Linked DNA regions of Nothobranchius furzeri. The protein of the gene in region 1 purifies or fractionates together with the protein of each later gene. This does not show direct contact. Links are inferred from orthologs where the notes say so. Each region holds a gene or a part of one and is shown on either strand. Other genes may lie near its edges.

The links.
Region 2: the proteins of tacc3 (region 1) and slain2 purify together in Homo sapiens (co-immunoprecipitation; 3 studies listed by BioGRID and IntAct, counting the BioPlex papers as one, with this or other methods). This does not show direct contact. The link is inferred for Nothobranchius furzeri from reciprocal best matches to the Homo sapiens genes TACC3 and SLAIN2.
Region 3: the proteins of tacc3 (region 1) and ckap5 purify together in Homo sapiens (co-immunoprecipitation; 5 studies listed by BioGRID and IntAct, with this or other methods). This does not show direct contact. The link is inferred for Nothobranchius furzeri from reciprocal best matches to the Homo sapiens genes TACC3 and CKAP5.
Region 4: the proteins of tacc3 (region 1) and enah purify together in Homo sapiens (co-immunoprecipitation; 3 studies listed by BioGRID and IntAct, with this or other methods). This does not show direct contact. The link is inferred for Nothobranchius furzeri from reciprocal best matches to the Homo sapiens genes TACC3 and ENAH.

The regions. Positions count from the first base shown.
Region 1 is NC_091758.1:31,360,209-31,367,568, reverse strand, and holds the end of tacc3 (transforming acidic coiled-coil-containing protein 3), read right to left. Parts: coding exon 7,356-7,360; intron 7,276-7,355; coding exon 7,148-7,275; intron 7,070-7,147; coding exon 7,032-7,069; intron 6,957-7,031; coding exon 5,885-6,956; intron 5,801-5,884; coding exon 5,758-5,800; intron 5,189-5,757; coding exon 5,038-5,188; intron 4,961-5,037; coding exon 4,902-4,960; intron 4,812-4,901; coding exon 4,681-4,811; intron 4,564-4,680; coding exon 4,476-4,563; intron 4,401-4,475; coding exon 4,275-4,400; intron 4,139-4,274; coding exon 4,071-4,138; intron 3,998-4,070; coding exon 3,954-3,997; intron 3,864-3,953; coding exon 3,703-3,863; intron 3,600-3,702; coding exon 3,493-3,599; intron 3,404-3,492; coding exon 3,283-3,403; intron 3,209-3,282; coding exon 3,143-3,208; 3' UTR 3,051-3,142; downstream 1-3,050. Other genes in the region: fibroblast growth factor receptor-like 1, read left to right, coding at 1-1, 406-759, 1,177-1,598. UniProt on the Homo sapiens protein: Plays a role in the microtubule-dependent coupling of the nucleus and the centrosome. Involved in the processes that regulate centrosome-mediated interkinetic nuclear migration (INM) of neural progenitors.
Region 2 is NC_091748.1:39,296,467-39,304,857, reverse strand, and holds the start of slain2 (SLAIN motif-containing protein 2), read right to left. Parts: upstream 4,543-8,391; 5' UTR 4,338-4,542; coding exon 3,868-4,337; intron 2,005-3,867; coding exon 1,862-2,004; intron 1-1,861. Other genes in the region: anapc4 (anaphase-promoting complex subunit 4), read right to left, coding at 8,140-8,358.
Region 3 is NC_091744.1:80,639,703-80,647,365, reverse strand, and holds part of ckap5 (cytoskeleton-associated protein 5), read right to left. Parts: intron 6,957-7,663; 5' UTR 6,916-6,956; coding exon 6,859-6,915; intron 6,222-6,858; coding exon 6,028-6,221; intron 5,898-6,027; coding exon 5,691-5,897; intron 5,601-5,690; coding exon 5,429-5,600; intron 5,352-5,428; coding exon 5,222-5,351; intron 5,159-5,221; coding exon 5,058-5,158; intron 4,848-5,057; coding exon 4,734-4,847; intron 4,562-4,733; coding exon 4,457-4,561; intron 4,364-4,456; coding exon 4,274-4,363; intron 1,141-4,273; coding exon 976-1,140; intron 540-975; coding exon 411-539; intron 335-410; coding exon 170-334; intron 86-169; coding exon 1-85. UniProt on the Homo sapiens protein: Binds to the plus end of microtubules and regulates microtubule dynamics and microtubule organization. Acts as a processive microtubule polymerase. Promotes cytoplasmic microtubule nucleation and elongation. Plays a major role in organizing spindle poles.
Region 4 is NC_091742.1:28,114,174-28,122,453, reverse strand, and holds the start of enah (protein enabled homolog), read left to right. Parts: upstream 1-3,294; coding exon 3,295-3,554; intron 3,555-8,280. UniProt on the Homo sapiens protein: Ena/VASP proteins are actin-associated proteins involved in a range of processes dependent on cytoskeleton remodeling and cell polarity such as axon guidance and lamellipodial and filopodial dynamics in migrating cells.

The DNA.
Region 1 (7,360 bases):
CGTGAGTATCGTTTTGCACATAGCTGCAGAAAAGAGAGAGAGATCACCTTTAGCAGCTCTGGTCTGATTATGATCAGCCAGTCGGGATGGTGGATGAATGTAAACATGTACACGAGAAGCACGTTGAGGAAGCAGGCCTGAAAGTGAGGGCTTGTGCCGTTTAGCTCAGAGACCATTCACCCAATCTGGAGCTGATTAAGGCCCAGCTGTCTGCCAGGCCCCCACCACCTCCTTCCCATGAGGAAAGCGTGCTGTACAACCAGGAGCGACCAAAGAGAGGAAACTAATCACACATACTTCTTGTGTTACATGTGGTATTCCTGTTAGCCTTGGGCCAGGATGGATAACAACCCAACTTTCTGTTTCCCAAAGAGGACCCTTGATGTGTGTTTTATGTCTCTGCAGAGAGGACAAACTCCAAACCGGTTCTGACAGGAACACACCCGCTCAACACGACGGTGGGCTACGGGGGCACCACGTCCTTCCAGTGCAAGGTGCGAAGCGACGTCAAACCCGTCATTCAGTGGCTCAAACGTGTGGAGCCCTACGAGGAGAGCCGCTACAACTCCACCATCGAGGTGGGGGACCACCGGTTCGTGGTGCTGCCCACGGGGGAGGTGTGGTCCAGGCCCGATGGCTCCTACCTCAACAAGCTGCTCATTACCCGCGCCAAGGAGGAGGACGCTGGCATGTACATCTGCTTGGGCGCCAACACCATGGGCTACAGCTTCCGCAGTGCGTTCCTGACTGTGCTTCCAGGTGAGAATCGGGAATTTTTATTTTGGTTTGGAGTCTGTTTTGTACGTCTAACCCGATAGCATCATCAGAACGTTTGCAGAACTCACCCAGCGTAATGTGTTGTTGTGTGTTTGTCTTCTGGACCTGGAGCACCAGCGTAATAAAAACCTCTAAATGTTTTGCTGACATCTGTTTAGCATTAGTTTTAAATGTGGCTACTCTTGTTTAATTCTCTATATAAATAAAAACTAGTCAAAAAATACCTTCAGACCGCCAGCTACCATGATGTGGGAGCCGTGGGAGTTTTCTCCCACATGCACGTTTCTACATAAAGTAACGGTTTCTCATTCTGTTCAGAAAAACATCCTGTTTGCTTAGAGGTAACAAAATGTTTGGGTTTTATTGGAATCTGGGTTTATTTGTTCCCTTCTGTTGCAGACACAAAGCCCCCCATCACCTCCATGTTCCCAGCGACCTCCAGCTCCCTGCCCTGGCCGGTCATCATCGGCGTTCCCGCTGGAATCGTCTTCATCTTCGCCACCGTGCTGCTGTGGTTCTGCCAGAACAGAAAGCATTGCCCACCTCCCAGCGCCCCGGCTGCACAAAGCTCCCACCGGCTCCGAGAGCGGGACAGGGCCCTCGCTGCGGCGTCGACCGGCTCCTCCAGCCCGGAGAAAGACTGCATGAGCTCCATGAACTATGAGGAGTACCTGGCCCAGCAGCAGCTCCTCCTTAGCAAGGGAGGACCATCAGCCCCGCCTAAAATATACCCCAAAATCTACACGGACATACACACACACACACACTCACACGTGGATGGGAAAGTACACCAGCATCAACACATTCATTTTCAGTGTTAGCGTCTCGGATGGACGTTGATTCTGAGGGACGTTCATGTGGAACCGATCTCCAGAAACTGTTGCGGGGAAAATGTGTGTGTGTGTGTGTGTGTGCGTGCAACGGACAGTGGCCAGTGTCTTTTTTCATAAAAACTTCCATGTTTGGTGCTTTTTTTTTTAAAAACAAGAAAACTTGTTGAAAGTTCACACCACTAAAACCCATTCATCCTTTTCATGCACTTGTTACGGTTTATTCGTTCAGGATGTGAGTTCAAACGGATCAGAGCGGAGAGGACGAGATCAAATAAATAAAAAACGGTACTAGAGGTCGATCAAAGGGCTGTTTTTATGCTCCTACTCAGGTTTTCCTCATGTTTAAAGCATTTTTCTGGTAATGCTGACCACTATGTTATTTTTCCATCCCACACGTATGTTCCTTTTTACAGGTGATATAAAATAGACTTGTAACTTGTTCATGGCGTGCAAACCTTGCCAAAGACTGCAAGGGATGGAAGGATTGTTTTTTTTTCTTCTTCAGATCAGTTCTCATCACTAGTTTTTACCGTCTCGAGGCAAACCAGCAGAAAGCAGTCTTTTTGACCATTAATGAAGTTGTAGTCAGAATATTTAATTTATTTTCATAAAAAAAGTATCAAAAGGTTTATTTTTCAGGCATTTAAAATTTCTGTAATTTTTCTTTTGTCCACCAGTTTGTTTGCATTTACTTCATGTTTCGTTATGTAATTTGACAATCTTGTATTTTGTTTAAAAAGAAGTTTGATTAAATGACCTGAAATAAGATTGATAGGATCAACAGTTGGACATTGTGTTTGGCTCATGTGTTTCTGAGTGCAGACAGAAGATGATTCGAGAGGTGAGCCATCCTGAAACAAAAGGCCTACACCCCCCACCACCTCCACACAGGAGCGCTTTCTTCTCTCCGAGCAGGTTGGAGTGTCTGAGGGTGACACAGAGGGCAACCAGCAGAGGGACACAAGTGGCCGGGACAAAAGCCTGAATAGATACCGAACAGACACAAGAACAGTCTCACTGTTGCTTTTTAGATGACTGATGTCCCCAGCCAGTCTACACCAAATGACCAGCATCTTTTCCCCAGTTAAGAGAATCGTCCCCCCCAATCCCTCTCTACCGTCGTTTCATTCAGCTCCAATCTAGGCAGGATTTCCTTTCACCATTTAGGAAGCACATTGTCCCACTCTGGGAGCGATGTGACAGGACCCTGTGATTGCTCAGAAAAGAAGAGGGGCTTTGTGTCAGATGAGCTCGTTTCACTGTAAGCACGAAGAAGAGCTCCGGCTCCAGACAGAAGCCTGTCGTGTCTGAATATCGAATAAGCAACACAGAAACACATGTTAAAGAATCACAGCGGTATTAATCCCATCTCAACACAGATCAATCCCCATAAAACCAAACACTGCCCCCTAGTGGTTGATGACATGAAAATAAAGCAAAAACTTTTAAAACTATCTTTATTTTTTTTTACAGTGTTAAAGAAACAATGACAAACATTACACAAAAAGATGATCTGGACACAAGCAATAAAATCAGCCCCTCTGGACTTTCGATATCAGCTCATCACACAGTTTGGTGAGCTCTTCAGCCTCTTTTTCCTAAAACACAAGAAAAAAATAAATACCTGCACACAGTAGCACATTTGATGACTTATTTAAAAATGTCCACTCACCTTCTGCTCCAGGCTCCTCTCCACAGACTGAAGCTTCAGTTGTTCCCGGCGCAGCTTAGCTTGAAGCACCGACAGCTCAGCTTTGTAATTAAACCGTACCTCTGCTATTTCTGTGTTCGCCCTGGAGGTGAGAAATACAATTATTCGCCTCGAGTACAAAGCCTTCACATGAGTAAAAACTAAATTAATTTACAGTTTTTCTTGTCCTACTTGGTAATTTTCTCCTCAGCGTGAGCTTTCAGGGCCTGGTATCGCTGCTCTTCCTTGTTGATTCTTGCCAAGTAGTCCTGGGCACAGGCTTTTAGAGTCTCTTCATTCTGGTTAAAAGACATTTTAATCCCTTTAGCTTTTCTGAAATCATTAAAATACTTTAGATATTGAGAAGTCCATCAGGAGCGTTTTGTCCTCCACTAAACTGACCTTTTTGTACCCCTCCACAACATCCTTGTATTTCTCCAGTCTTTTAAAAAGCTCAGCACAGTATTTCTCCATGGAGTTCAGATCGTTTGACACCTGCTCCTTCTCCAGCAACGTCTCCTTCAGCTTTGCCTCGGCCAGCTCTTTCTCCTTCTCTTGATCGGCTATTTTATGCCAAAAGAAACAAAAACGAGTACTTCCAACCACCGCTGAGTCATAAATCTGGATGTTTAGAGCAGGTGGCGTTAACTCACCCATCATTTTTGCAATCACAAGCTCATATTCAGCTAGTATTTTCCTGAGTGGGTGAAAAAACAAACAATGAATATCATCTAAAACAAAAACAGAAAATTAAAATCTAATCCACTCGCCTCATTTCCTGACCGTCATCCTGCAGCTTTTTACATTTACAACTCCACTGTTCCTCTTTCTCTCTTCCCTGTTTGAGAAGATGCACAAGTGAGTGGTGAATGAGGACCAACCACCTAGCTTTAGAAATGTTTTAAACAATTCTGTCCCAAAATGAAGCTCTACTTAAACTAGTGGACAAGAAGATCAAACTGTGAAGAACGCACCTCTGCCTGCACTTTGGCGATAGCGGCATCCATGTCCTTCTGACTGTATTTTAGCATTTCAATAATAACGTCTTCGGAGTTCCCAGGCTGAGGGAAAGGAGGGATGATGCTTCCAAAGATCGGAGCCTAGAAACACAGATGGTCATGGTCAAACAACCCGCCAGGAGTTACAGCGAATCCTGATCGGGAATAGAGACTCACTGGAGCTGTTGCGTCCTCAAACAGCTTGAGGCTGTCCTTTATTGGAGCTTTAGTTGTTTCTTTCTCTGTAACCTGAGGAATCTGAAGCCTGAAGAAAACAAAACCTTAAGTGATGTTTTTTTTAATATTTCAAACAAAAAGGATCTGCTGAAGCATTCAGGGACAGCAGCAGTCAGAGTGAATGAAAACAGAAGTGTGTTATTACTGTGAGGCCAAGGCCGCGGGAACAGCGACGTGCGTCTGAGCGGACGGGCCTGCAGACTTTTTGGGGCTCTCCCTCAGGAGGGGATCAAATTTTAGGTACAAAGATTGCTTTCGAAGGGCAGACTCCTTAAACTGTAGATTGAAAAGAAAACATTTAAATACCTTTAGGTCATGAACTAACTATCAAAATATCCGGTTACCGTACGCGTCGTTAGCACTTACACTGCTGGACCCAAACTGCTCAAGGTAGTCGATCTGCCCGTCAAAGCCACCGGCCACGACTGGTAATGTAAATCAGACCGAACTAATCAAGCACAGATCAAACTAATAAAGTGATGTGAATTCCAGGTTTACTCACACATAGTTCCAGGAACAAACTCCTCACTGAACTCGGTGTCCATCTGTAGCTGCTGATCGGGCTGAGGCGGCTCAGGAGCGTTCTGCACGGGGTCGTCACTCTCAAGTGGAATTTCCTGGTCATGAGCGGAGGTAGCCTTGTGATCAGCGATCTGACGGTTAGGAGGGTGATATTTTTGTGTGTGAGAAAAACACGAGCTAAATAGGAACTTAAACTGAATACAGGGTGTCTGCAGGTTTAAGGGAGCCAAATTTAAGACTTTTTAAGACCTTTTTTTAAGGCCACTTTGACCAAATTTAAGCTATTTTTAGAATTAAATTTAAGCTATAATTTCCAGCTATTGCCTGGAACCGATGCCAACCACATCGCGAACGTGGGATTAGCCATCCAGTTACCATTAAACGTCCCCATGGCGCAAGCTCCCACTAGCTTAACCAGCTAATGTGCCCATCTAAAACTAGCTCCCTTTCACAACCAACTGAATGTGTATGGTTCCGCTTCGCGAACATTATACACAACAATGCTGAACACTAACTAGAAATTCACGAAATTTTTATCGAAATAAAAGAATCTTGTTTATTGGGCCTTTGGTAATTTAAGACCTTTGGAAACTGTATTAAAGGATTATTTGTCATTTTTAAGGATTTTTAAGGCCTTAAATTTTGAAAAGCAAATTTAAGACTTTAAGGACCCGCAGATACCCTGTGAATAATAGCTTACATCTTCATGGTTGGGCTCAGCTGTTGGTAAGCTCTCACCAGAGCTGCAAGGAGCAAAAACATTTACGATCAAAACTTTGATGCTGGAATGTGAAGAAAAATAAAGACAGAAACTCAGTTTTACTCACCTCTGGGAAGACCCATCTTCCTTTTTGTCAGTTTGCTCGGGAAGGTCTGCTTCCTTGAGCACAACTGCGGGTTGGCCACTGCCCTTTGGAGAATTCGTGATTCTTGCTTTAGCGCCAAAAGGATTGAAGTACGGGTCATCCAAGTCCAGAGAGTAGGAACCTTTAGGAACTGGATCATCAGTGACATCACTCACAGGCTTCATGGGAGCTTCTGCTGATGCTTTAACATCAGAAGTCGACTTTTCGTCTTTAGGTTTTACAACAGAAGGTCTTTTGCCGAACCTTTTGGGTGGTGGCTTTCGTTTGACTTCGCTGCAGTCTCCGAAAGAGAACTCAAGTTTGACGGAGTGCTCATTGACTGGAGGGTCCGCAGGCTCGGACTCAGCTGCTGGAGGCTTGGCTGCATCAGCGGGTGTTGGGTTCACCGTAGAAATGGACTTCACATCCTGGGCAGGTGACTCTTGGGCTACCATAGGAACTTCAAACACGCCCATAGATATCTTTTCTTCTGTAGGTGGATTACTGTTTGGTACTTTTCTCTCTAAATCAGGTGAATTTGGAATTTTAGAGCCTCCAGTCTGGAATGGATTAATTTCATCAAGGTTGTCAAAATCCATGTTGTAAGCTCCTTTTACTGGAAGTGGAGAATCTTCCACAAAACTGCCAGATGTCTTCTCTTGATCGGACAAACTAGCAGGCTGTTTTTCATCAGGCGTGTCTGTGCATGGACCTTCCTCTACTGGGACCTTCACGGTCACCGTGACCACACTGCTGTCTGTGGAGCTCATGTTGGTGGAAACATCTGCATAAGAATTTTCCACAGATGGCGTGAATGGAAGCGTGTCGTCTAGAGCGGGTGTCATGTCAGTTGGCTTATTTTGAATATTCTCTGGTGACATGTGCTGCTGAGGCTTGGGGTCATCTGTAAGAGTCTCAACAGCGGGCCTCCCAGGGGTCACGGCCATCTTGTTAGAACTCTGAAATGGATTGATGGCATCAAGATTGTCAAAATCCAACTGGTAGCCGCCTTTGCTTTGTATCGGCATGTTGTCGTCGGGATAGGATGACATCTCTGTGAAAAGGGTTAAAAGAGTTTGAGTTGGATTGTTTACATCAAGCTGTAAAAAAATAATATGGGATGAGTTACCTTGACGGGGTGGCTCAATCTGCTCCTGTGTTAAAGTACTGAAAAAAAACTGGTGTTATTTCAAAGCACAAGCAATTGAAACTTAAAAACATGTAGGAAGTATATGACTTATTTACTCTGGCTTATCCAAATCCAAGGACACTGTTGCTTTATTATTCTCATCCACACTTAACATGTTGACAGATTTCCTGGGAGACAGGATTCTTTTAGTCAACGGGTCTCTTCTTGGTGTCTGAAAACAAACCTAAACATAACATTGTAATTAGTAAATACAGATCAAGTTACATAAATGACTGAATCTGTCAGAACTAAAAGGTTTTGCACCTTTG
Region 2 (8,391 bases), on another chromosome or scaffold:
TGGGTGTGAGGGAGAGGAGCCACATGGGTGTGTCTGGTTTTCAGATAGGCTCTGAATGAAGTGCTTAAGATGTGTGGATCATAAAAAGTAAATAAATCCAAAAGCATGTTAGCACATAAAACGTTAGATGTGATCTTTGTTTCCATCAGTGAGAGCTGGATTCAAGATGGAGTTATGAGTGTGACTTTTACCTCTGCCTTCATAGCTTACACGCACGTGATTTTATATCAACACATTACCAAATACTTGCATCTTTTATGCTGAATAAGAGTAAAAATATTCACTGCATGACCACAGGGATTATTCTAGGTGCCACCCAATAAACTATTTGTGAATGACATTTGTGTTGGTCCTTGCAAAACAAATCACGTCTACCCCAGCGGATCACCTTCAGCAGACTGCTCAACACGATCCAGCAGTCACACGGACATACCAGTCCAAATGGAACCGGCCCATCTCAGTTTAGCTGCGAGGACGGACCGACTATAATTAGTGGGAGTCAAAACCTCAAAGTAGAGACTGCTCAGCCAAACAGCAGGGAAGGCCAGGTAGATAAATGATATGCATGCATGCGCGTGCGTGTGTGTGTGCGTGTGTGTGTGTGTGTGTGTGTGTGTGTGTGTGTGTGTGTGTGTGTGTGTGTGTTGGGGGTATTCCAGTGAATTGATTTGATACAGCAGACAACATAAAAGGCTCTGAGTTTTCCAGTTTGAATAGTCTATAAATATCATTTAAGACACACCAGCTAATCTCACGGGCATTTGGGGAACGCTAAACTAACTCTGGTGCTTTTCAGTAACTTCACATGACAATCTGTCAGACATTGATCTGCCAAGTTCTCACAGGACTACAGTGTTTGCCATGTAATGATTCACCAGGCGAATCAGACAGTTCTGTTTCCCTTCTTCATCAGAGAAAGCAAACCATACATGAGAAGACATTTCTTTAATTTACTCCTGTGCTTTTAAACAGCCCATTTCTGCTGTGTTAGCTAAATATACCATGAACCATTGAACAGATTTGAATCAGACTCAGTCTTTATTGGATGCACATCTACAACTGATTTACTTTAGGAGAAAACCTGATTCAGGACAGCCATTACAGCGAGTTGACACTAGCAAGCACAAAAGTGGCTATAACATAGATATATTTAACTAGAATGTGCAGTATTAGCAGCAGACTCTGAGCGAGGACAGAAATATTACAAAGTAGAGTGAACTCATTTCTTAAATTTGACCAAAATAAGTTTTATTCCATTGTTTCTCTGAAAGAGCAAGTGGGTAGTAGTAGTTTAAAATATCAGCTGCGTGCTTTCCTAACGTCGTGGAGCTCTGATGCGTAGTGATTTTAACGTGAGTTGAAGATTTGAAAGTTTTATTTGTATTTAATTATCGTTATTACATTTTTACAACCAGGAAATGCTTTATGTAAACCGACACAAAAATCTCTGCCTCTTCCCAATCAACAAACACCCTTCCAGGTTTATTTACATACAACAAACTTAAGCTAGCACCACCATAAGTGCAAGCATCAACACACACACTGCTATGAGAACTGCCAATACTCGTCTTCACCCTAATAATATGCTTAAAGTAAAGAATAAAATTAGAAACCCTACTGGTAGCTGTGAGAAATGTAGCTCAGCTTTTAAAACACATCATTTATGTTTTTTACCAGTGACGTGTGATGCTTTTGAAAAGCCTTCAAGCACCAAGAATCCCAGAGAAAGTAGAAGATAAAAAGGCCAACTGTATCCATTTAAATGATCTAATTCTGCTACATGAATGCCTCCCAAGCTTATTAAAATGCTACCAACTCCTGCTAATGATGCTGCTAATTAAACATTGATAACTCTGTTTACCTGACAGGGTGAGGTCCAGTCTGTGGATGAGAGAGCGCTTGGCTGATTCGATCTCAGGACTGGGATGGTCCAGAGTTTGGCGGCACCATACGATGGGACTCAAGGCTTTTTGCAAGGGACTGTTGAGTTTCGCTTCATATAACCTGCAAGAAATCGAACAATTACTTGAAGCAGATCACAGTTTTTGGTTCTGTTTGGTTCATTTTCAAGGCACCAGTTCACACAATAAAAATGTTCACCAAATTTTAAAGACACATTAAATAGAATCGCTTCCAGTAAAAAAATAGAATTAAAATAATCAAAATCAACTGATTTTATTTATTTTAATGCCAACTAACCCTGACAGGTTGAGACTGGTTTTAATAAAGCATACAGAACTAGAGGGTAGTCGTATTTTAAACCTAGAGGCCGGCATTTAAAAAAATAAACATTAATGAAAAAAATGAGTACAAGTGGAGAAACGTCAATACTGACTTTAATGCTTAGTCAGGTCCGGTTAGTTCAAGTGCCAAACCCACTGAGTGACGAAGGGGTCAAAAAAGAGCAAAGCAGGGCTACGAGCCGTCAGGACGGACTGATGCCGTGTGTTACAGAAGTAAAGCAAATATTTGGTGATGCTTCTGAGAGGAGACACGATGACTTTCTACTGAGAGGAGAAATCTGAGTCAGCATTGGTCAGCACCGAGGAAGCCGAGGAGGAAGCCTTTCATGATGAAAGCGGAGACGCTGCGGGGAAAGCAAAGCTCGTGCAGGGAAATACAAGTCTGACATCATGAGAACACATTTTCTTTGTTTTCCAACACATTAACAGTCAGTCACAAGTTAAAAGGCTCTCAAACATCCACCGACGAGCGCCAGGGTGCATTTTAAATCCAGCCTCGCTAATTCATGGGATTATGGGAGTCTGTGACAGAAGCTGGCGACATCAAGGCACTACGAGGTAATCCCACATATCTGATGCAAAAGGCAGAGTAAACAGCTTGGGCCAAATGAAACGGCCTCTGCCAAGCATGAGTGGGCAATATCTGAAAGTATCCCGACATGGAGAGAAGCAGCTGGCACAGGCGCACTGCTGCAAGGATCGCAGGAGCTGGGAACTGATTAAAAACCCAATTAGTTATAATTAATAAAGGGACTTTGTAGTATATTTACAACTTATGGTGCATTACTGACTTGAATACGTTCCATCAAAGGCTGGGCATTGAATAGCCATTAAGGATCTTGACCACAGAAGAAACTATTTAAATGAGCACTCCTGGAAAAAACAAGCTTTTTTAAAAGGATCGTTATTTTGAAATCCAGTTGACATAAACACAATGCACTGGGAGAAATTCAAGAATGGAAAAGTGGGATTATTTGTGATAACAAGCTGAACATGTTGGTGAATCTTAGTCCAAAACATACCCTGATGTGACCCACTTTCTTTAAATAAAGGCAATTTGTTCTGCAAATCCAATGCTTGCAGTGATCCTAATGTCACAGCCAGAGCTTCTATTCCAGCCTAATGACCGTCCTGCTTCAGTACCATTTCCCTCTCGGTGCTGCAGAACACTTGTAGCTGTGTGCCAACTGCTGGGCTAAAGGGAATTCAGAGGAATGAAAACCATGACTACTCTCCCACATGGCTGCTGGGCAGGAAAACAAGCCCGGTTTCTTGCCACCCCTCCCAAGGAAAGCTGAGCTGTCTGCCACATCACAACACCTCCGGGTCCTGACTCCCAACAGCTGATCATTAACAGCAAGTGGACTAGAAAAATGCAGACTGGTGGGACAATGGTTGGTGAAAAACCAGTCTTTGGATGGCCTCGCCCATGCTAAGTGCCAAAAAACACACTTTAGTTGTCCCTAACGGGACTCCTTCTGTGGGATGACTTCAGATTAAAAACAAAGGTGGGACGACTGCTTATGCCAGGCGTGTGCTGTGGAGGTAATGTGTGGAGCAGCTGACATCTGGCCCTGGAGACACTAACAGGCAAGTTTCCTCCCAGAACAAGCCCATCACTCACCAGCTGTCCTCGTCTTCGTTCAGACAATCCATGTCTTCAAGATCTAAGATGTCCACTTCATCCAGGATAGAGGTTTCCCCTTCAGCCGTCAACTCCCCGGCGTTGTCTGGGTAAAGTGAGTTCATGATCGACACCGCGGTGGCAGCAGAAGCCCCCTCGCAGTCATACGCCCTCATGAAGCTGATGCCGTCATAAGACAGCCTGGGTCTCGAACAGCGGCTGTTCTCCAGCAGACCCCCGTAGCCGCCCGTTCCGCCGAACCCCACCCCAGGGAAGCCGGCCAGACTGGCTGACAGGGACGAGTCGTAGCCGGCGCTGTGAGGTCTGTGGTTCCCGGACAGTCCACCGGACGAAGGCAACGACGTGGACCGACTCCGAAGCTGTTCGTTTTGCTGCTCGAGTTTTTTCACCAAGTCCTGGAGCTTCCGCACCTCCAAGTCCGCGTTGATATTAGAGTTGATATCCTCCATGGTGAATCCTCAGCCTGACGGAAATATTCGGTGCTTTGGAGCGTTTTCTTGGCCGGGGCTCTCTTTTTGCCCCTTCCTTTTCCTTTTCCTACGTGTTCCAAGAAGACAGTTTAGAGTTTAAACGACTTAACGAGCTTATCGCCGTCATCTTCTCTGGATATTAGAGTCTACGGGAAGGGTCGAGGCCATTTTCGTATTCGCTACTCGTCACCAACTGTGAAAGACCAACAGGCGGCGGACAACTACGTCACTGCGTTCAATATCGAGAGCGAGCACGTAACCAACACCTATTTGCTCGCGCACCTACAATCACGTGAGCTGGGTTGGAGGGTCACTGAAAACAGACGGTAGACACCACATTCCTCCAGAGAAACAATGTAATTACACATAAATGTGCGATTTAAACAAGAGGAAACCTTCAAGTTTAAATATTCATACATTCAAAAGTTTGTCTTTGTATTTATTAGAAATATATAATAAAATGAAATAAGGGGGTTCTCGTCCCGATCAAAGGTAGTGTCTTGGAGCAGCCGTACAGTCTTGAAGTTTTGCATTTACCTTCGAGGTGGAACGGGGCCAAGTCGCTTATGAGCAGACTTTTTTCTCAAATATATATATTTTAGTTCCAATGATACTCATTTAAGCCAGTCTAACAGGTCTTTGTCACTTTCACTGACAAATTACCTTACCAGATTTGTGATGCAGCTTGTTTTGGTAACATTGCCGTCCTCATCACAGCACACATAACTGTTCCAGCATGTTTTATCTTCACTGAGTTCTACCCAGGGCCGGATTATCATTGCAGGGTCCCCTGGGCACAATGTGCTTAGGACCCCGCCCCGCCCCCACCGGGCCTCCCCCAACATTACTGTCACCCATTAGCACTTTTTAGACATGTCATAACATTGTCAATATTAAAAATCGCTTACTCTTGTTGATACAAAAGCATTTACCTCCAGGTCAAAATAGTTTTATAACCTAATCACAAACACTCATACCTGATGATGTTCCTGTTGTACCTCACTCATATGTCTTTCTTCCTCTGTCCTCTCTTTTCTCCTCTTTTTCTGTCTCTCTCTTCCTCACAGCGTTCCTGTCTTCTCTTCTGTCTGTAATAACAAAAATGTTGTCAATCTGTGGGACAGTGGGGGCGAGTGAGTCTGCTGTAAAACAGATCCCACTGTCACACTACAACAGAAAATAATGCAGGATTATTTAAAAGATTGTACAGTTATTGAAAAGTTTGCAAAGATGAAATATCTGCATGTTTTTTGTTTGTCTCCTGTTTCCTTCCTCCTCGTCTCCTGTCTCCTTCCTCCTCTTGTCTCCTGTTTCCTTCCTCCTCTTGTCTCCTGTCTCTTTCCTCCTTTTGTCTCCTGTTTCCTCCTCTTGCCTCCTGTTTCTTCCCTCCTCTCATCTCCTGTCTCCTTCCTCCTCTTGACTCCTGTCTCTTTCCTCCTCGTCTCCTGTCTCCTTCCTCCTCTTGTCTCCTGTTTCCTTCCTCCTCTTGTCTCCTGTCTCTTTCCTCCTCTTGTCTCCTGTTTCCTCCTCTTGCCTCCTGTTTCTTCCCTCCTCTCATCTCCTGTCTCCTTCCTCCTCTTGACTCCTGTCTCCTCTTGTTGGTCTCCTCTTGCCTTCAGAAAAAACTGCTTTCTGGCCTTTCTATTAGTAAATTCATTTACAATGTCATCAAAGTCCAGATTCCTGACAAGCTGAGATTCAATAGCCATCAGTGACAGTGAGGTGCTGTTGAGTTTGTGTTGTTCTCAGTTCATTTTTTATTCTTGCCATTAGTGAAAATGATCGTTCTCCTTTACAATTTGTAACTGGTAGAGTTAGAAAAATCCACAGGGCCACAAACACATTAGGGAAGATGGACTGTAGACTATTTTTTTTTAGCCCGAAAACGATCCTGGTACTGCTTATATTAAATTACTTATGTGGACTCTCTGGGGATTATTTAGAGCTGAGAGGCGCAGAGCTCTGATCGTTGATGCGCTCCAGATGTGTCCTGAGCACGGCCACAGTAACATTATCAAATTGTCGCCACCTCAAAAACAAACGTAACACGCGATTGTTCGTGTCAGCTCATATCCTTTCATGCTTTCTGTCTTTTATTTGTGTCTGATACGCTTCGCTGCTGCGGAGCGAGCGCATCACCCGTTTCATCCTCCGGAGACTTCTCTGCACTGATGCGGCCGGCGCGCAGTCCGCTATATTTGCGGTCGGTAGATCTTTTAGAACTGCAGTTCAAAGGTAACTCATAAGGTGAATATATATGAACCCAGGTAGCAGTTTTTCTTGCAGGAAGATAATAAACAGACAGGACAGAAAAATAGTCAAATAAAAACAAGTTAGTTTTTGTACCTGCTGGTTGCAACAAACAGACACCATTGAAGGTCATCAGAAGTGAGGAACAGAAAATGAAATAATTATTTTAATGTTTAGAGCAGCAGGAACTCCGAGAGGCTGCAGGCGCATCAGTGAGTTTGCAGCCACTGCGCAGGGGGAGGGGGGCTGAAGCAGGGGGAGGGGGGAGAGGGCTGAAGCAGGCAGTAAAGATGCAAAAACTACTGTTGTTAAAAGAAATGTGTTTTAACTTAGAAAATGTGGGCGCAAGTTTAATAACTTGTCAACTTTTTTCTCCAACGTTAAAACTGCTGCATAAAAAATAAAAAAAAGACTGGGCCCCCTTGTGGCTGTGGCCCCCTGGGCCTGTGCCCAGTTTGCCCGTATTATAATCCAGCCTTGGTTCTACCACTGTTGTATCTTCAGATAACTTAATCAGTGGAAGTGAATAGACATAGGCAGTAGTCTGTCACCGCACTAAAGTAAAAAGGACTGAGTCTAGAGGTGTGACCAAGACACTGCTTTGCAAGTCACAAGTCTTTCCAGTCAAGTCCAAGTCGAGTTCAAAGTCAATGATGTGGAAGTTCAAGTCAAATCCAAGTCATCTGTCCAACTTCAATTTAATGACAATAATAAATACATTCCAGAATAAAGCTTCTTAAAGCGTAATTTACTTGCTCAAACAAGCAGAAAGTGCAACTGAAACTGATTATTAACAAAGAGCTGCTGCCGTTAGCCGTACAAGATCAAACCCAGACTTTTGTCCATGTCGTGGCACTTTACTGCTAAAATATCAAATATGCTCAAGTCATCATCAAGTCAACAGATAAGTCGATTCAAGTTGCAAGTCATTGGTGTTCAAGTCCGAGTCAAGTCATAAGTCTTTATAGATTTTATCAAGTCAAGTCAGAAGTCATTAAAATAATGACTTGAGTCCAAATCATGTGACTCGAGTCCACACCTCTGCCGAATACACATCCTTGAGGAACTCTCAATATCAGATTGACATTTTATAGACAATCCCTCTGAGATTAATAAAGTACCTTTGATTGATTAATTTGATTTATAAAGGGCTTTTCTAGTCATTAAACCTTTCAAGGCACTTTTACTGCTAGTTAAATTCACACTCACACCCGAGCTTCATGGTTTCAGTGTTGACCAAGAACACATCATGATGTACAGGGAGACCAGCATCAATCCACTTCCAATATGCAGATAAACACTCTTCCACCGACCCACACGTTTACAGCATCTAGGGCTAAGGTTGTCTAAATTAGGCTAGTTTTACATAAAACCTAGTTCTTTAAGAGATACAATCAATACCATAATCATCGCTAAAATAAACTTTTATTAATAATTATTACAGCTGTATAGTTCAGACTGCTCCAACAACATAAGAAGATAAAGTTGAGTCCTTTATTCAGGCAGCTTTTTAGTTTTGGTATCACGGGAGTTACAGGGCCTCCTCCGACTCAAGTTGCTCTTCAGTATTTTGTACTGCTTCTCCTTCCTGCTCTCTCGCTTCACCTTCAGACTCCTCTACCGGTCCTTGGCTGGTGATGGTAGTTGCCAGCCCATCCTGAGCGCTGACATTCAGAGAGTCAACTCCCTCGTCGTCCTCATCTTCTACATCCATCTCAAAGACACGTATGTGCCTGAAGTTGGCACTTAGCTGCCAAAACAGGGAGAAAAATACATTTTTTGG
Region 3 (7,663 bases), on another chromosome or scaffold:
TGGACTCTTTACTGCTGGAGGCCTTCTTTGTTTTTCCTGCAGCTGCAGATGCTGATTTCCCTTTTTTAGCTGGACCAGAAGACGACTGCAGAACACAGAATATTCATCTTAATCATGGAAAAGTTAGAATTCTGCAGACAAGAACCACCAGCGCTCAGTTTGTCCGAACCTTGCAGGCGGCAGAAGTTTGGGTTTTCTTAGGTGGAGCAGCAGATTTTGGAGCTTCAGCAGCAGGAGGCGGAGCTTTAGCTGCAGGTTTCCTCTCCACTGCTGCTCCTCCAGAAGCTCCTTTCCTCCCTCCAGGCAGCTCGACTTTATCAGCACACTCTTTAATCTGTAGGAAAACAAGTAGCCTTGGTTAGCAGCCGAAGGCAGGACACAGCGCTGAGCTTTTCCTCGGCAGAGCTCACCTTATCCAGTTTGAGTTTATCCAGGTCCGAAAGGAACGGGTTCACGGCTTTCTCCCCCACCACCTTCATGGCTGTTCCCAGAGCTTCAAAAGCAGCATCCCGAACCTCCGAGGCAGAGTCGTTCACTTGCTGGGGGGTTAAAGTAGAAATGATGGACATTAAAGAGCAACTCACCCCCAAATAAACTTTTTTTTCTGATAAACTATATAAATGTGTGTTTAATCATGCTGCAAACACGTGCAGTGAATAGTTTTGCACTTTAGTGCATTTTTGTTCAAATTATAATTTTCTGCCTAAAACAGTGTTTTGCCGTTGTCAGGTAAAAACTCTGCACTGCAGTTGAATTTAAATATGCCATCGCTATTGGCTAAGAGGTACCCTAGAACGTTAGCTGGCACCATATGATGTCACAATGTCGTTGTGAGCCTGTGTGTGTGTGTGTATTTGTTAGCGGCTCCGCCCTCTCTGTCTGGTGGGCAACAGCATTTGTTGCATTTTTCAAACAGGAAGCAGGAATTTTTAAATTTCTTTCCAGGGTTTGGCCCTCGCTCTAGATCTCCGGTACCTTAATGAGAGCAGCACACAACGGCTTGAGGACGCTCTTGGGCAGCGTGGCTGGGGTGCAGAGTCGGAAAGACCGAGCCAAAAATAAAGAGGCCTGCTGTTTGATGGACGGGTTTTTATTGTCCATCACAGCCAAGACGTCCTCCGACAGGTTCTGGAGCGTTGTCTGGGAAACAAAAGATATGAAGGGAAAAGACCTTTTAGGATTCCATAAGGAACACATCAGGGTCAGTAATCAGATTACACAGGATGAGCTTTTACATATTCAACGTAAACAAAGAGTCCAGAAAACGACCCGGTCCTGCTTGGTGCCCGAGTCGTTAAAAAGTCCAACTAAGTCCTTCCACAAATAAACCACATCAAAGCTAAAGCAGGAGGTGTGTGCGTGCGTGCGTGTGTGTCATCATCTCAAGGCTCTCAAAGGTAACAGGAAGGCGTCGGACCTTTGAATCCGGACACCAGAACAGAGGAGACTGTTGTGCTGGTAAAGTCGTCTGATGTCCTTCGGGCTTGCCATAGTTGTATGAGAACATGCAGGAGTTTATGGGGGTTGGGGTTTTTATTCTATATAAAACACAACAAGCACGATTTCTGGACCGTCCTGGTGTGCAGTAGGGCTGCAACAACGAATCGATGAATTCGATGAAAATCGATTACTAAAAGCGTTGGCAACGAATTGAGTCATCGATTCGTTGTGTTGCGCAACTCTTCCAAAAGTCCCCTCCCCTCCCGCCCGCCGTTGCGCGCAGACCGGTGGAGAGCCGGCAGGTGTTTGTAAGAGGAACATGGCAGAAGCAGCGAGACCCCAAAAAAGTAAAAACTTCTAAAGTTTGGGAGCATTTTCAGTTAAATCAGGCGAAGACATGCAACGTTTGTAGGTCAGACTTAGCATGGCACAGGGATACTACGGAGATGATGCAGAGTCTTAAACGCAAGCATGTCAGAATCATCAGCGAGGAAGGAGAGAGCTCGGTGTCCGGGTAAGTTAAAAACTTTTACAAAGTGATTCACCCAAGCCCCAGATTATTACACAGGCTAGATATGCCCTAAGCTCGTAAAAAAAGTCTATAAAATTGTAAGCGTGACGCCATTTGATAGTCGGGGGGGGGGGGGGGGGACTCGCGCCGCTGCGAACCGGTTCCGCCGTCACATTCCCGCAGAAACTGGTTGATCACACCAGGGCCAGACTACTAGCATGTGGCTTTACAACCACAATGTCCTCAGAAGCGAAAACGCTTTTAAAAGGGAGGGAGGAGTCCTAACTGTTGCTGCAGGCGTGTTGTGTGAGAGTGCAGTTATATACTGGTTAATATATTTTTGGGTTCAGTTGCTTTCATGTGGCCTAATGTGAGTCTATTTGGGATCATTGGAATGATCAGCAGCATTTCTTGATGTGACTTTATGGCAGTTGCCCAGGGCATCATGGCAAGGAGGATGGCATTCATTTACTTTTGTTTTATTTGGTATTTTTCAGTCATTTTTGGAAATAGTGATTAATTTTGATTAATTCACAGCCTATGTTTAATTACATTTAAAAATTAGTTGTTTGACACCCCCAATTATAATAAATGTCTACAGATGAGATCAAACAAAACAGAGAATTGCCCTTATAAGCAAGTCACCCCCAAATAAACTTTTTTTTGCTGATAAACTAAATAAACGAGTGTCTAATCGTGCTGCAGACACGTGTCATCAATAATTTGGCACTTCAGTGCATCTTAGTTAAAATTTAAATATTCTGCCTAAAACTGGCATTGTTGTGCCGTTGTCAGGTAAAAACTCTGCACTGTATTTTAATTTAAATCTGCCACCGCTATTGGCTAAGAAGTATGCTATGATGTAAACTGGTACATTATGATGTCACAATGCTGTCGTGAGCCTGAGTGTGTGTGTATTTGTTAGCGGCTCCGCCCTCTCGGTCTGCCAGGCAACAGCATGTGTTGCATTTTTCAAACATGAAGCGGGAGTGGAGTTAGACTCTGGTAGGGGTTGACTTGCTCTTTAAGCTGTTTAATTTGGACCAAGCATTTTAGGTCACAGATAGTTGTAGCTTAGGGTCTCTGTCTATACGCCTTATAAGACAATTTAGGTGATGGCATGTTGTTTTTCTGCTATTGAACTGTTTTCTAATAATGTTGTGTTTAATAAAGTGAAGGAAGGAGAAAAATAACGTTTCCCTAGCAGTTTTTAAAAATGTCCCTATGTAATCCGATTAATCGATTAATCGTGTCGAGACCCCATCCGATTAATCGATTATCCAAATAATCATTTGTTGCAGCCCTAGTGTGCAGTGAAAGGTGAGGACACGTACAGACGTCTTGGCGCATGCGCCGAGTGAGCGGTTCTGGGACATCTTAGTTGTGGTGCTGCTTCAACAGCGCGATAGCTTCATGAGGGATGACCAGAATATCACGCATGTCTGATTCTAACTAACCCCCGGTACACAACGCAAAACCCGGCCCAACCTCAAAGATCATCACACCAGCAGCTCAGAATGGGCAGAAAAATCACAGTTTATGTCCAGATTCTAATACACCAGAGGTTCCGACAAGTTTATCCTTATGTTTTCTTAAAGTAAAAATTTTATCCAGTTTTAACAAATGAAAATTTGAGAGAAAAACTTTTACTCTAAGATTTAACCTTCCCACTGTCCTAATGGGTGTGACCCCATGAAGAAAATTGACCATTGAGCAGGGTTGATGGTTTATCCCTTGGATCCACGTTAGAGGTGTGAATCTTCACTTGTCTCCCGATTCGATTATGATTATTGGGTCAACGATTCAATTCGATATCCCGATGCATCACGATTATTTCATATGGATTTGTTTTCATCAATAAATAGAAGATGTCAGATAATTGCTTTTTATTTTTTTTAATCAAAAAAATCCCAGAGGCTGCTTCCAGACTTTGGTTGTGGTCAGAAACAAACACACTGGTAGTGCTGCAAGTCTTTTTCTTTTTTTCTCCAAAACGTGTTTTTGTTTAAATGAAGGTGATGTTGTTGTTCATAAAATTAAAATTCATGTTTAAGTTAAGATTGTTTCATCAAGTAGGACCTGTGGTTAGCTGGCTCATGTAAAATATGTCATGTCTTGAAAGAATCGGAATCGGGAATCGATAGGAACCGGAATCGAAATGAGGAATGGGAATTGGAATCTGAATCGTTCAAAATCAAACAATGCCCAACCCTAGCCACGCCCCAGTTAGGCCGATTCTGATGTAGCAATGACTTCATTTCCACAGTTCTGACTTTAGAACCATCCAAAGTTAACTAAATGATAATAAATGAGCCGTTTTACCGTGAGGAAGATGGCGTCGATGGCCTCCTGCAGGGCCTGGACTACCTGAAGCTTTTTCTCCTTGAACTTCTCCAGAATGGTTGGAACCACCTAAGGAGAAGGTTCTGTGAGAACTGCTGTGGTCCGCTACCATCTCCATTCAGGTTTCATGTTTGAGTAACTTCAGAGCTGTGACCCACTCACCTGTCCTGCATACGTTCCAAACTTCTTCCTGAGCCCAGTAGCCAATCCAGCCAGACATTTAGCCGCCAAGGACACCAGCATCACGTTAGCATCTTTCCCCACAACCTGAACCAGGACAAAGTCACAGCATCCCATCATCCGACACCATCTAGGACAACTGAACCACCTAACCCAGCGGTGGAGCTCAGAGATGAGCCAATGCTGATAAAACCTCATGAATACAGCAAAGCAAAGCCCCGGGCTGCAGGTTCTACCTCCTCAGGGCTGGAGACTTTACCTTCTTCAAGGCTCGAACAAGGTCTCCATAGTCTCCGTTCTCCAGTTTAGGGTTCTTAGCTAGAACCTCCACAGCCTCCAGAGCTTCTTTCCTCTCCTGCCACTTCTTTGCTTCCTGCAGAGAGAGGAGGAGAGAATAATGAGCGGCTATCCCCATTGCCCTGACACAGGACATGTTGGTAGAAGATGTTGGGCACCAAGCCACCTGGTTGGCACCAACTCACTGGAAGGTAAAGATCCCCTGAAGCCCGTTGTGACCATCTATTGCTGTGAAGCATCAGATTTAAACAATCCCCATGGCTGATTTATGAAAACACAAACTTACGATCTTCTCATAGAAGTCTTTAGGGACCTTGGACAGAATCTCCACCGGTTCCAGGAGCTCATAAGCATCCACAGCTGCAGCCGTATCCTCCTCATCCTCTCCTGGAGGAAGAACAGAGTTAGTAGAGTGTTACCAAACAGCTGATCCCACCCAGTCTCACCCACCATCAGATGGCTCTCCTTGTGCTTGTTGTTGCTCAAACTTTGCTTTGAGGTCCTGCTGGGAGCGTAGGAACCTGGTCTGCTTTGGGGGGGCTGGAGGTAGCTTCACCCACTCCTCCTCCAGCTCCTTCAGCTGCAGGAATAGAGCAGACATCATTTTACCTGTTTAAGTTACCGACAGTGAAGCTGAGGCTCCGTTTGATGACGTACCTGAACAGAGTTGATGTTCTGCAGCGAAGGTCTCAGAGCATCTCGGATCCACCTGTAGATCTCCACAGCCAGCAGCTTGGCTTCATCTCTCACAGCCTTCTCTCTGGACTCAAACTGTTTGGGTAAAACCTTCACCACTGGCTTCAGCAGCACTATCTTTGACCCAAACTCACTGTGAGAAGAGGACAGATGTAGACACTGAAGCTGTAACTTCACAGGTAAGCTGACCCGTTACCAGGTCAGAACCAGAGCCAGTACCGACCTCAGAGCCTTGCGGAGCGTCTCGATGCAGGACACCACTATCTTTGGGTTCTTGTTGTCCAGCCCCTTCAGCAGCTCGTCCTGGACGACCTCAGCCTTCTCGATCTCGATGTACGTGAGGCAGATGTCCATTCCCAGCTCTTTGGCTCGGGCCTTGGGCTGGTTGAACACTTTGGTCACAACACCCGACACCACCTCGCCCGTCGTCCTGCAGCAGAGACAACGTCAGATTAGCACAGGCCTCTACTTTATAAGTGATGAAAACCATCAGAGGTCATCAGATAAAGCTGTCTGCAGCTGCACCACCGAGGGGTGCAGGACATGTCGTCACCACTTACTTGCCAGCCACATGTGCGTTGTCTACGAAGGCCAGAGCAGCTTCCAGGCCTTTGAGCTGAGCCACAGCGTTGGAGTCGGTGACAAACTTCTTTATCAGGCCCAGATACTTCCCCCATTCTGGACTCTTCTCGTCTTGTATCCTCTGGAACAACTTCAGAGCTTCTTCATAACCGTTCAGTCGGGCTTTCCACACCTGTGGGAGACAGCGGTGAGGAACAGAGACGTCTGACACTCATGGAGACATCCTCCTTTAAATAAAACAGATCTGAGGCTAAGGGATGGTTTTCCCAGCTCTTCTAGTGACAGAGGAGCAGATGAGGTCTCTGGACTGAACTTCCTCTAGCTCCCTGGCTGAGTGGAGAGAAGGCAGCTCTAGTGCAACAATCATCATAAAGGCTGTGAAACATTTAAATTCCTCCACCCATCAGACAAGTTCGACCCCAACAGCCAACAACTAAATTATAATCAGTTTCTGTCATTTATCTTTGCTAATGTTGATTAGCTTAAAGCTAGGATGGCGTTACAGCATTCAGACATGAATGCTGGGATTACGGGGTTCTCCGAGACTGGATTAGGTTAATCCTGAATGTAAAACCACGTAGGGATCTAAACAAACACAGTAAGCACATCTGAGGGAAGCTAATCTGACAAAGAGCAGAGCAGCTGAATCCAGTTTCGGTCCAGTGTTCCTGCTTCATGTCAAATGTGTAACAGCTTTGGGTTCAGATCTGTTTATTACAGCTGGCCTGGTTAACCAGGACACCCAGAGCTGCTGGACATCACTATTAATCTCTGATTTGGGACTCTAAAGGAAACTTGACTTTGGTCACCTTATGTTCACATTTCTGGTCGACAGGAAGCTTCATCCACTCACTATCGTCCCCCATGGCGTCTGGTCGGGGGCTGGGCTTCCCCAAACGTTACTCAGCTAGAAGAGAAAATTAAATAAGCTCATCAGGGACACTCAGGTCAGGTTTGTTGCTGCTGATCTCCGATGGCAAAAACATGGATGGACATTTCTATGTAGTTATAATGAGCGCTACGGACATGATCTGGGAATAAAGGAAGAAAAACATCACCTAAAAAGGCCGGGATTCATTTAGACAAAAAGAGGTTTTTTTACTTTTTAAATGAGACTTTCAACACAGTCTGTGTTTGTTTCTTAGCCTCCAAGGTTTAGAGCTGAAGGAGCCTATTGGATGAGAAGTGAAACATCTTGTAGATAACCAGAGAAGTCCAGCTGTTTTCAGTGAAATCTCAGGATGAAGGAGAGTCCACACCAACGTGCTGAAACTCAGAGCAGCAACACTTCAGGAAGACTTAAACCAGGGTATCTGCAGGTTTAAGGGAGCCAAATTTAAGACTTTTTAAGACCTTTTTTAAGACCACTTTGACCAAATTTAAGCTAATTTTTGAAATTTCTGCTATAATTTCCAGCTATTGCCTGGAACAGGTGTTAACCACGTCGCGAACGTATGATTAGCCATCCATATACCATTAAACTTGCACTTGCCCATGGCGCAAGCTCCCACTAGCTTAACCAGCTAATGTGCTCATCTAAAAATAGCCCCCTCTCACAACCAACTGAATGTGTACGGTTCCGCTTACACCAACATCATACACAAAAATGCTCAT
Region 4 (8,280 bases), on another chromosome or scaffold:
AATTTCTAGTTAGCGTTCAGCATTTTTTGTGTACGATGTTGGCGTAAGCGGAACCGTACACATTCAGCTGGTTGTGAAAGGGGGCTGTTTTTAGATGAGCACATTAGCTGGTTAAGCTAGTGGGAGCTTGCGCCATGGGGAAGTGCAAGTTTAATGGTGACTGGATGGCTAATCCCACGTTCACGACGTGGTTAGCACCGGTTCCAGGCAATAGCTGGAAATTATAGCTTAAATTTAATTTTATAAATTGCTTAAATTTGGTCAAAGTGGCCTTTAAAAAGGTCTTAAAATGTCTTAAATTTGGCTCCCTTAAACCTGCAGAAACCCTGTAAAACATTTTCACAGCAACCCATCTCATGTGTAACATGACCAGTACAGATGCCTTCATCAGGCCCTGTCATATGTAGGTACTTTCTCTCACATGTGCCCGTGAGAACGTTGGATAGCGGTCCTGCAGGACCAGGCCTGGGCGCCCTTAGGGTGTGCACAGAGCCGTCTCATTACTGCACGCTGTCTGGGGCCTTTTTAGGCTTTAGAAGAGATTTGAGCGTTATTTATGGCAATAGGCAACCCACCGACAGGCCATCTGTAGCTCCTGCTTCCACCAAGTATTGCTCCTGAAAAATAACTAGACGGGAGGAATAACAGAAGACAGACTCAAACACAATTAATGTGTTCATTTATTCACTCGGTAGGGGATTCAGCACATACACTATTATGCTCATGATGACACGCATCTTGTAATAATTAATGTAAGTGTGTGGAGGTTTCCATGGAAACGGTTTAAAGCCTAATTTAGACTTCTCTGTCTGCGTCGGGACGGATGCATGCGACGCCATTATTCGCCCTTTTGAGGGCTCTCTAGCACGCTCGCAAGTACGGACACAGTCAAGCTCTCTTTTCCAAACATCCGTCCAAAGAGACGGAGAACGCAAGCTTGTGATTGGTCAGGACGCCGCTGTCATCGACGGCATCGCCATTCCACCCTCAAAAATATAAAGAGAGCCGAGGATATCTAGCGGCAGACACGGAGAAGCTTGAAGACAACTCTAAAAAAATGAACGTTTTATTCACCGGAGAAGTGAAAGAATACGCAGCAAGCGTCTTATTCATGGAAGCAAATAACGGGAAACGTGGGTTCAGAGGTGGCGAGCACACAAATGGGCCATTCCCATCTGTACCGGGTCGGCCCGGGCCGGGTAGCCCCAGTCGGCCCCAGCCTGGCCCGGTTGATTCCACACATCCTTGTCTTAAGCCCATGTGGGCTGATTCTACCCACCAATCAGAGGCCTGCTCTAATGGAAGGTGTGAATTTGCTGTCAGCAGTGGGTGTGTTGGCGCTGGTCGGCCTGAAGCAGACCCCCTCGAGAAGAGGGCTGAGAATGAGCCTTGGTTGGCCCGGAAAAATACCAGGCCACCCAGATATGTAAACAACCTACGCTACCCGGCCCGGGCCGACCCGGTACAGATGGGAATGGCCCAGAAGAGGTGGAGGAGAGTGAGGGACAAATTTGTCCGTGTTAAAACCCATAATATAAACACGATAGTAGATGCACCATCTTGGACCTAGGGCTGCTCGATTAAGGCAAAAACAATAATCACGATTATTGTGAATGAAAGTGAGATCACGATTATTTAGGACGATTTTTCAATTTATGTTGATTTTTATTTGTTTTTATTCAGTCATAAAATTGCTCAGGGCACAATCAGGACAAAAAGAAATAAGAAACAAGATGATCACTAAAAGAACTCCTGATTCCCAGTATAAAAAGACCAGTATACTTACAGCTCATAGTCTATGACCCAAGGGCTACAGACCTTGGTTTAACTCATTTAAGTCTAACCAGTACAGACCCAAATACCAATATCTTGCAAATACTGACAGCAAGAATTATACAGTGGCATTCATAACAAATACATGCAAATAAACTGATGTTCACTAAATGTTGCATAACATTTATTGAGTCGTGTCAAGGTGCTGTAGGAGAGTGCACTAGCACCGTGTCCTCAGAGAGATTAGTTATTAGTTATCAGCGTGAGGAACTTATTTCTACCTTATTTATAAACTATTTATTTACAAGTCGTCCATCAGTTAATGTAATAATTGTCCCAACCACAGCTGCACCCCCCAACCCGGTCTCACAGCAATCGGGGGCAAGCTGCACGTGTTTAGCACGCCGCACATTTAGCCTTTTTTAGCGGCTCAGGAGTCCGCAGGTGCGGTGTGTGTGTCACTCACTCTGGTTACTCCAACATGGAGCCGGCTCTGAGAGCTGTCTTTAGCGACGGACACATCACTACATCATTCCCTTTCCTAATGTCCTGAAGAACGGTCCAGAGCGCAGGCGGAGTGTTTAGCTAACCTGCAGGAAATGTCGACGACAGTTATCCAGAAAGTAGCTAAGGGTTACCAGAGATGTTTCTGAGGTGTTCGCTAGGTACTTTTAAGATTTAAAAAGTCAAGAAGGGGGTCTGAGAAGCTGCTAGAAATAGCGTCAAAGTCGCTAAGTTGGCAACACTGTGGGAGGAGCGCTTCATTTGCAACTCAGGGCAGCGCAAGTGGGAGGAGCAAATAATCTGCTTGTTTTGTTTTTTATAATCGTTCAAAAATCCGATCGTAATCGTGATTAAAATTCGATTACTTGAGCAGCCCTACTTGGACCAGATACATGACAGGATATGCCGGAACAGCGCTACGCCCTCTGTTGTCCTGACGGGGAATTGCTTTGCAACACTCCCCAGGAGACGAAGTCCGAGAGAAAAACGTCTCTGTCCGTGCGTGTCTCTCCCTCGTGGAGCTTCAGGAGATGGCTGGGACAGATCAGCACCATCACACAGACACCATCCTCAGGTCCGGTGGGGTCTGCAGTGTGTATCTGACACAGTCCCTCCTCTCAGGACATGAGACCGTCAGAAACATCGAACACTGCCATGCTTTTCATCCCGGTTTATTCTAGAGAGCGATAGAGGAGGACAGAATGGAGCTGGGCGAGTGGAGGCAGTCCGTCATGTGGGGAAGCACACAGATTAAAGCTGCGAGAGGAGGAAGGGGAGGAGGCAGAAGTGGATGTGAGGGTTCTGTCGCAGCAGGCGGAGGTATCAGAGGAACCAGCGTGCTCCCGCTGAGGTTCTGCAGCATCTCTGTGTTTTTGGGCTGAGCGGTCCAGCTGTGGCCATTGTCACGTAGAGCCTGTTGCCTGGAGACCTCCGCTGTTGCTACGGCAAGGAGAAGCTAACAACACAGCTCTCTGATGACATCTCAACACGTCCACCGGCTGTCCAACCTGCTGGCACATGGAAAATAACGGGATTCTCCTGGATCAACGTGTCGACAGGAGGCTGGGAGTGTGTGGGGGGTTTTACCAACGCCCTCACCCAGACAACGAAGAAAGGCAATCTCTAGAGAAGGAGAGGGGGCAGAAGATGTTTTTGACAACTGATGGGATAATAACAAGCAGAGCCATGCAGGTCCAGTCCTCCGGTCCACAGTCTAAAGCCTCCAACATCATTCTCAGCCAAAGATGTGTTCTGGCTTCCAAAATGGAAATTCACCGGTACGTACCTACCGTCACCATGCGGTTCAGTTCAACACCCGGTCCTGCCTTCATCCTTTCAGGGACCTTTAAGCCTCCTGGGTTTTTGCTTCTGATGAGGTTCTGTATTCTGGTGAAATCTCAGTGTTCCTGACAGGATTTCTGTTCGCAGATTTACATTCTGTCACCCCCCCCCCCCCCCCCCCATGAAACGAGAGAGCATGTTGGTTCTGTTAGATCAAAGGGATGCTTCTTTTCTTTACCTGTCTCAGCTTCTGCTAATCTTCAAATACCAGAAGGTCCACCACGGGGCAGGAGACTCTGACAGATGGTCGCAGTTGTTTGTGAAGTTTCGGTGATCCCAGTCCACTCGGCTCCCTCCAGCTGCGACAGTAGTGTAAACAGGCAGGTGTTCGATTCTTCACGCTGTTTACTGGAACGTCAGAAAAGTGGCTCCTGCTATAGAAGAGCAGCACATGTAGCAGGAACCTGGGGAACCAGCAGGTCTACACAACGTCCCCCTCGATAAAAACTAAGAGTAAAGGATTTATTGATTAGATACTTGCTCACTTAAAGCTGTAATGGCAAATCTGCAAACAAGCTAGGTTTTGAACACGGTCACTGACCACTCACCCGTCCCCACGAGTATTTTCCCTAGGACACTTTTGGCGAAACTGGACATTGTCAGAGGAAACAATATTGCGTTAATTACCAGTCGCTGTCTTTTTTTTTTCATTCATTCATTCATTTATTTCCATCATAACAAATACATATAAAACACATGAAAAGGAAAATAATTATCTAATAAAGAACATAATAATAATTATCACAGGTACAAATTCCTCTTATAAATTAAACAGTTTCTTTAGATATTATTTATGAGCGAAAAGGTATAGGCTGAAGTTAAACTTATTAAAGCCTACCCATTAATTCATTACAAAAAAAAATCAACATTGTCATAAATATCAAAAGTAAATAAACATATAAACATATAAACAGTTGACTAAACATCTTTAGTTGTCCGTCCGTGACTTCAAATGGTGATTTTCTTTTTGGGACTCTGGTAGTTTGTCCTAAAGGTGAAGTTAGTGATGCACCGATATGAAATTTTGGGGGCGATACCAATATCTGATATTAATCTCACTGTTAAGGCCGATAACCAATATTTGCCGATACCGATATGCTGACATTAATGTTTCTAAAATGAGCAGATTTTGTATAGAATGAAAATTATTCAAGCTGAATTTACGTTATTAAGTACACACACCACACACATTTACATTCACTGTCACATGACTATACAAATACACATCACCCCTCTCACCCTCTGAAACAGGCAAACAAATGGAGACGAGATGGAAAAAGTATCGGTGTTAGTATTGACCCGGTTTTATTTATCGAACCGATACGTAAAAAAATGACTAACATCGGCCGATACCGATAATGATGCCGATATATTGTCCACGCCTAATACTGGGCATTCAACAAGCCGGGAAGGACACAGCTCCATGATTTGCTGCCTTCAAACAGGCTAATTTCACTTCGGCTTTCCCTTCGGACATCAACAAAGCAAATCGCTGTTCTCCATTAATTCCCAGTTTGCCTCCAACAGTCCCAGTTCACAGTGAAGTCACAAAACTGCAGAGCCAGCCCACAGAGTAGAATTAAACAATTAAACATAGAGAAAGTGCCAACAGACTACAAAACCATAAGTAGTAGTGTTTCTAATCACGGAAACATGCACAGGGAGCCTAAGTCACGCCCATCTATTTCCAGACCACGGGTCCCTGGAAGAACGAAAAAATGAAGGCAAGTCAACGGGGCTAAAAACGCTATTTTCTAATTCCGCTTCTTACGTGCCATGGATTTCACACACGATGTCCGTGAATTTTAAAGAAGCTTTTTGATCGTTATTTTTCGCACGGGGGAAGCGCTAGCTTAGGTTTTGTTTGAAAACAAGTCCAGGACTACAAATGCGCGTCGCGAAAGTGACGTCATCGAACCAGACATGGAGAAAAATGTGGAAAATGGCTGTAAGTTCATCAAACTTCAAATCCTTCCTTCCGGGGGAAAGAGCCACCATAAATCTGGTCACGTGGTAAGTAGCAGCTACGCTAGGGGGGAGGAGACTCTGTGGTGACGTGCCGATGTCTGATTTGTAGTCATGCTGATTACGGACTTTTACAAGCTAATAAATCTCTAAGCACATGACAAGCGCGGTCGAAACACCCATCGTTAATTTAAATTTAAATTGCAGTACAACATATGTGTGACCCAGGGCGTGAAGCAAAGCGGATTAGAAAAGCGCTCTTTTAGCCCCGTTGACTTGCCGACCGGAAAGGGAGGAGACTTATGCCGGGAACACACCAGATGCAACGTGCGGCGAAGTGAAATTTGTGCGCCGTCCACTCCTCCTCTGTTCACATCAGGCAAGAATTTTCAACGAGCGCTTCTGCTCACACCTACTGTTTTACAGACCCCACCCTCATGCCCTTGCCGTGCGTTTGTGTGTGTGTGTGTGTGTGTGTGTGTGTGTGTGCGTTTGTGTGTGTGTGTGTGTGTAACCAGTTAGCCCCGGTTGTTGACATCAGAAACTGCGCTGATCCTGCTGCTGTTTTGTAGACCAGTTTCGTTCTAAATGGTTAAGTAAAGAACTCGTGTCTGTGGTACAATCCAGCTTTTACAAACTGCGTTTAAATTTATGAAAACACTTTGTTTCTCCGCAGGAGTGTGTGTGTGTTTGTGTTTGTTCATTTTCATCTCTCTATTTATCAGTCACGGTGTTTTATTTTGAAAATTTTGTTTTATTTAGTAAAATTTACCAGCCTGCCTCATCTGATTTGGTTCGACTTCCTGCCGGTATTGACGCGACTAACTCACGGCTAACAACAATGGTGACCTACACGTTAAACTATTTTTTACAAATTTTATAAAAATGAAGACATTAAGAAGGTTTTTTACACTACTTTAATATAACTAACGTTTATCTTTGAAGAACCAGAGTTTTGTAACCTGGGTTCCTTTTAAAACCACAACAAGAAGCTCTAAAAGCACACTACAGCTAAAAAACTACGGTCTGCATTTGCGTCTATTTTTGAGCCGCCTAGTCCCGCCCCTCATGTGCCTCTCTGTCTGTCACTAACGAGACTAGTTCTCTGTGTATAATTAAACAGAGGATGAGTCTGGCAGGCCAGGCTACCAATTAGAAGAAGAAGAAGAAAATATCATTTCTGTAGCGCCTCTCAAGATAAAAATCACGAGGCGCTTCACAAAAACAAAAAATGTAAAAATATAAAAAAGAATTTAGAAAATGTTTAAAAATATATTTAAAATGAGCAAAAAATAGACAACTGTTATTAAAAAAATGTTAAGAAAGAGAGAGAGTGAATAGGAAAGAGGGAAATCAGTGGAAATTTGGCAAATGAAAGGCCAATAGATGCCAGAACCCAAAGCAGGGAAGACGTTGTCTTGTTGTTGGATACAACTGGACCTACAGGAGATCTGGGTAGTTTTCAGTTTGAAAGCCACCCCTACAAGAGATTGAGAGTTATCCAAACAGAAGTCAACAGGCCATCTTTTAACACAGGAATAAGAGTTGTTGTACCTTTTGTTGCTGAAGTGTCGGCCACCACTGCGGTGTTCCTCAGAGCTCACCGCTGTTGGCAGCATCACTTCCTTCTCCGTTTATCTGTGGGCAGCAGAGGGCGACTGACTGGTGCCCTTCAGAAGAAACGTGGAATGCCGTTGCCATGGCAACTCTGTCTCCTGTCCCAGCCTGGGCGGGACTTCTGGCTGTGAAGGCCGAAGGAGTCACTGCACTGAGGTGACATGTGCTGCTTATCGTGGCTGCAGGAACTGAAGTGGGGATAGTCCCAACCCCACCACCCCACCTAGTGGACACTTATGTTGGGTTGTCTGAAGTCTGTTGCATATCTGTCCTGAGGTGTTTCTGTGCAGAGCAAAGCTGCCCTCCCTATGGAGGGTAACTCTGAAGTGCCTTTTTTCCCTCCACCTGAACCAATCCTCATGTTACCCTCTTATCTCTATTAAGGTAGCGCGACTCAGGGTTGCGAATGACCACAGTCACCAATTCTTGTCATGGGTTAGGGTTTTAAAACCTGTTAGCTTGTTACTGACAGCAGCTACGTTTAAGTTTCACTTCCTGTTGGGACTGAACGCTGCTGCAGCATGGAGGTGTAGTTCTCAGTCATCCTGGACATGATCATCCTGAGAGTTTCAGCTGAAAACAGCTGGACGTTACTGGATGTGTTGGAGACGTTTAGCCTCTCATCCCAGAGGCTGCTTCCAGACTTTGGTTGTGGTCAGAAACAAACACACTGGTTGTGCTGCAAGTCTTTTTCTTTTTGTCTCCAAAACATGTTTGTGTCTAAATGAAGGTGATGTTGTTGTTCATAGAGTTAAAATTCATGTTGAAGTTAAGATTATTTCATCCAGTAGGACCTGTGGTTAGCTGGCTCATGTAAAACATGTCATGTCTGGAAAGAATCGGAATCGGGAATCGATAGGAACCGGAATCGAAACGAGGAATCGGAATCGTTCAGTATTAAACGATGCCCCACCTTACGTTCCCTAAAGAAAGACACACTAGAGGGACTATTTCCACTTCCACATCTGACCTGGACCAGGCTGGGTTGCCTCGGTCTGGGTTCAGCACCGGTGGGATTTGTTCACACACACTTTTCAGGAAATCTCCCGAGCACGTGAGCAGGGCAAAAGACGTGCGGAC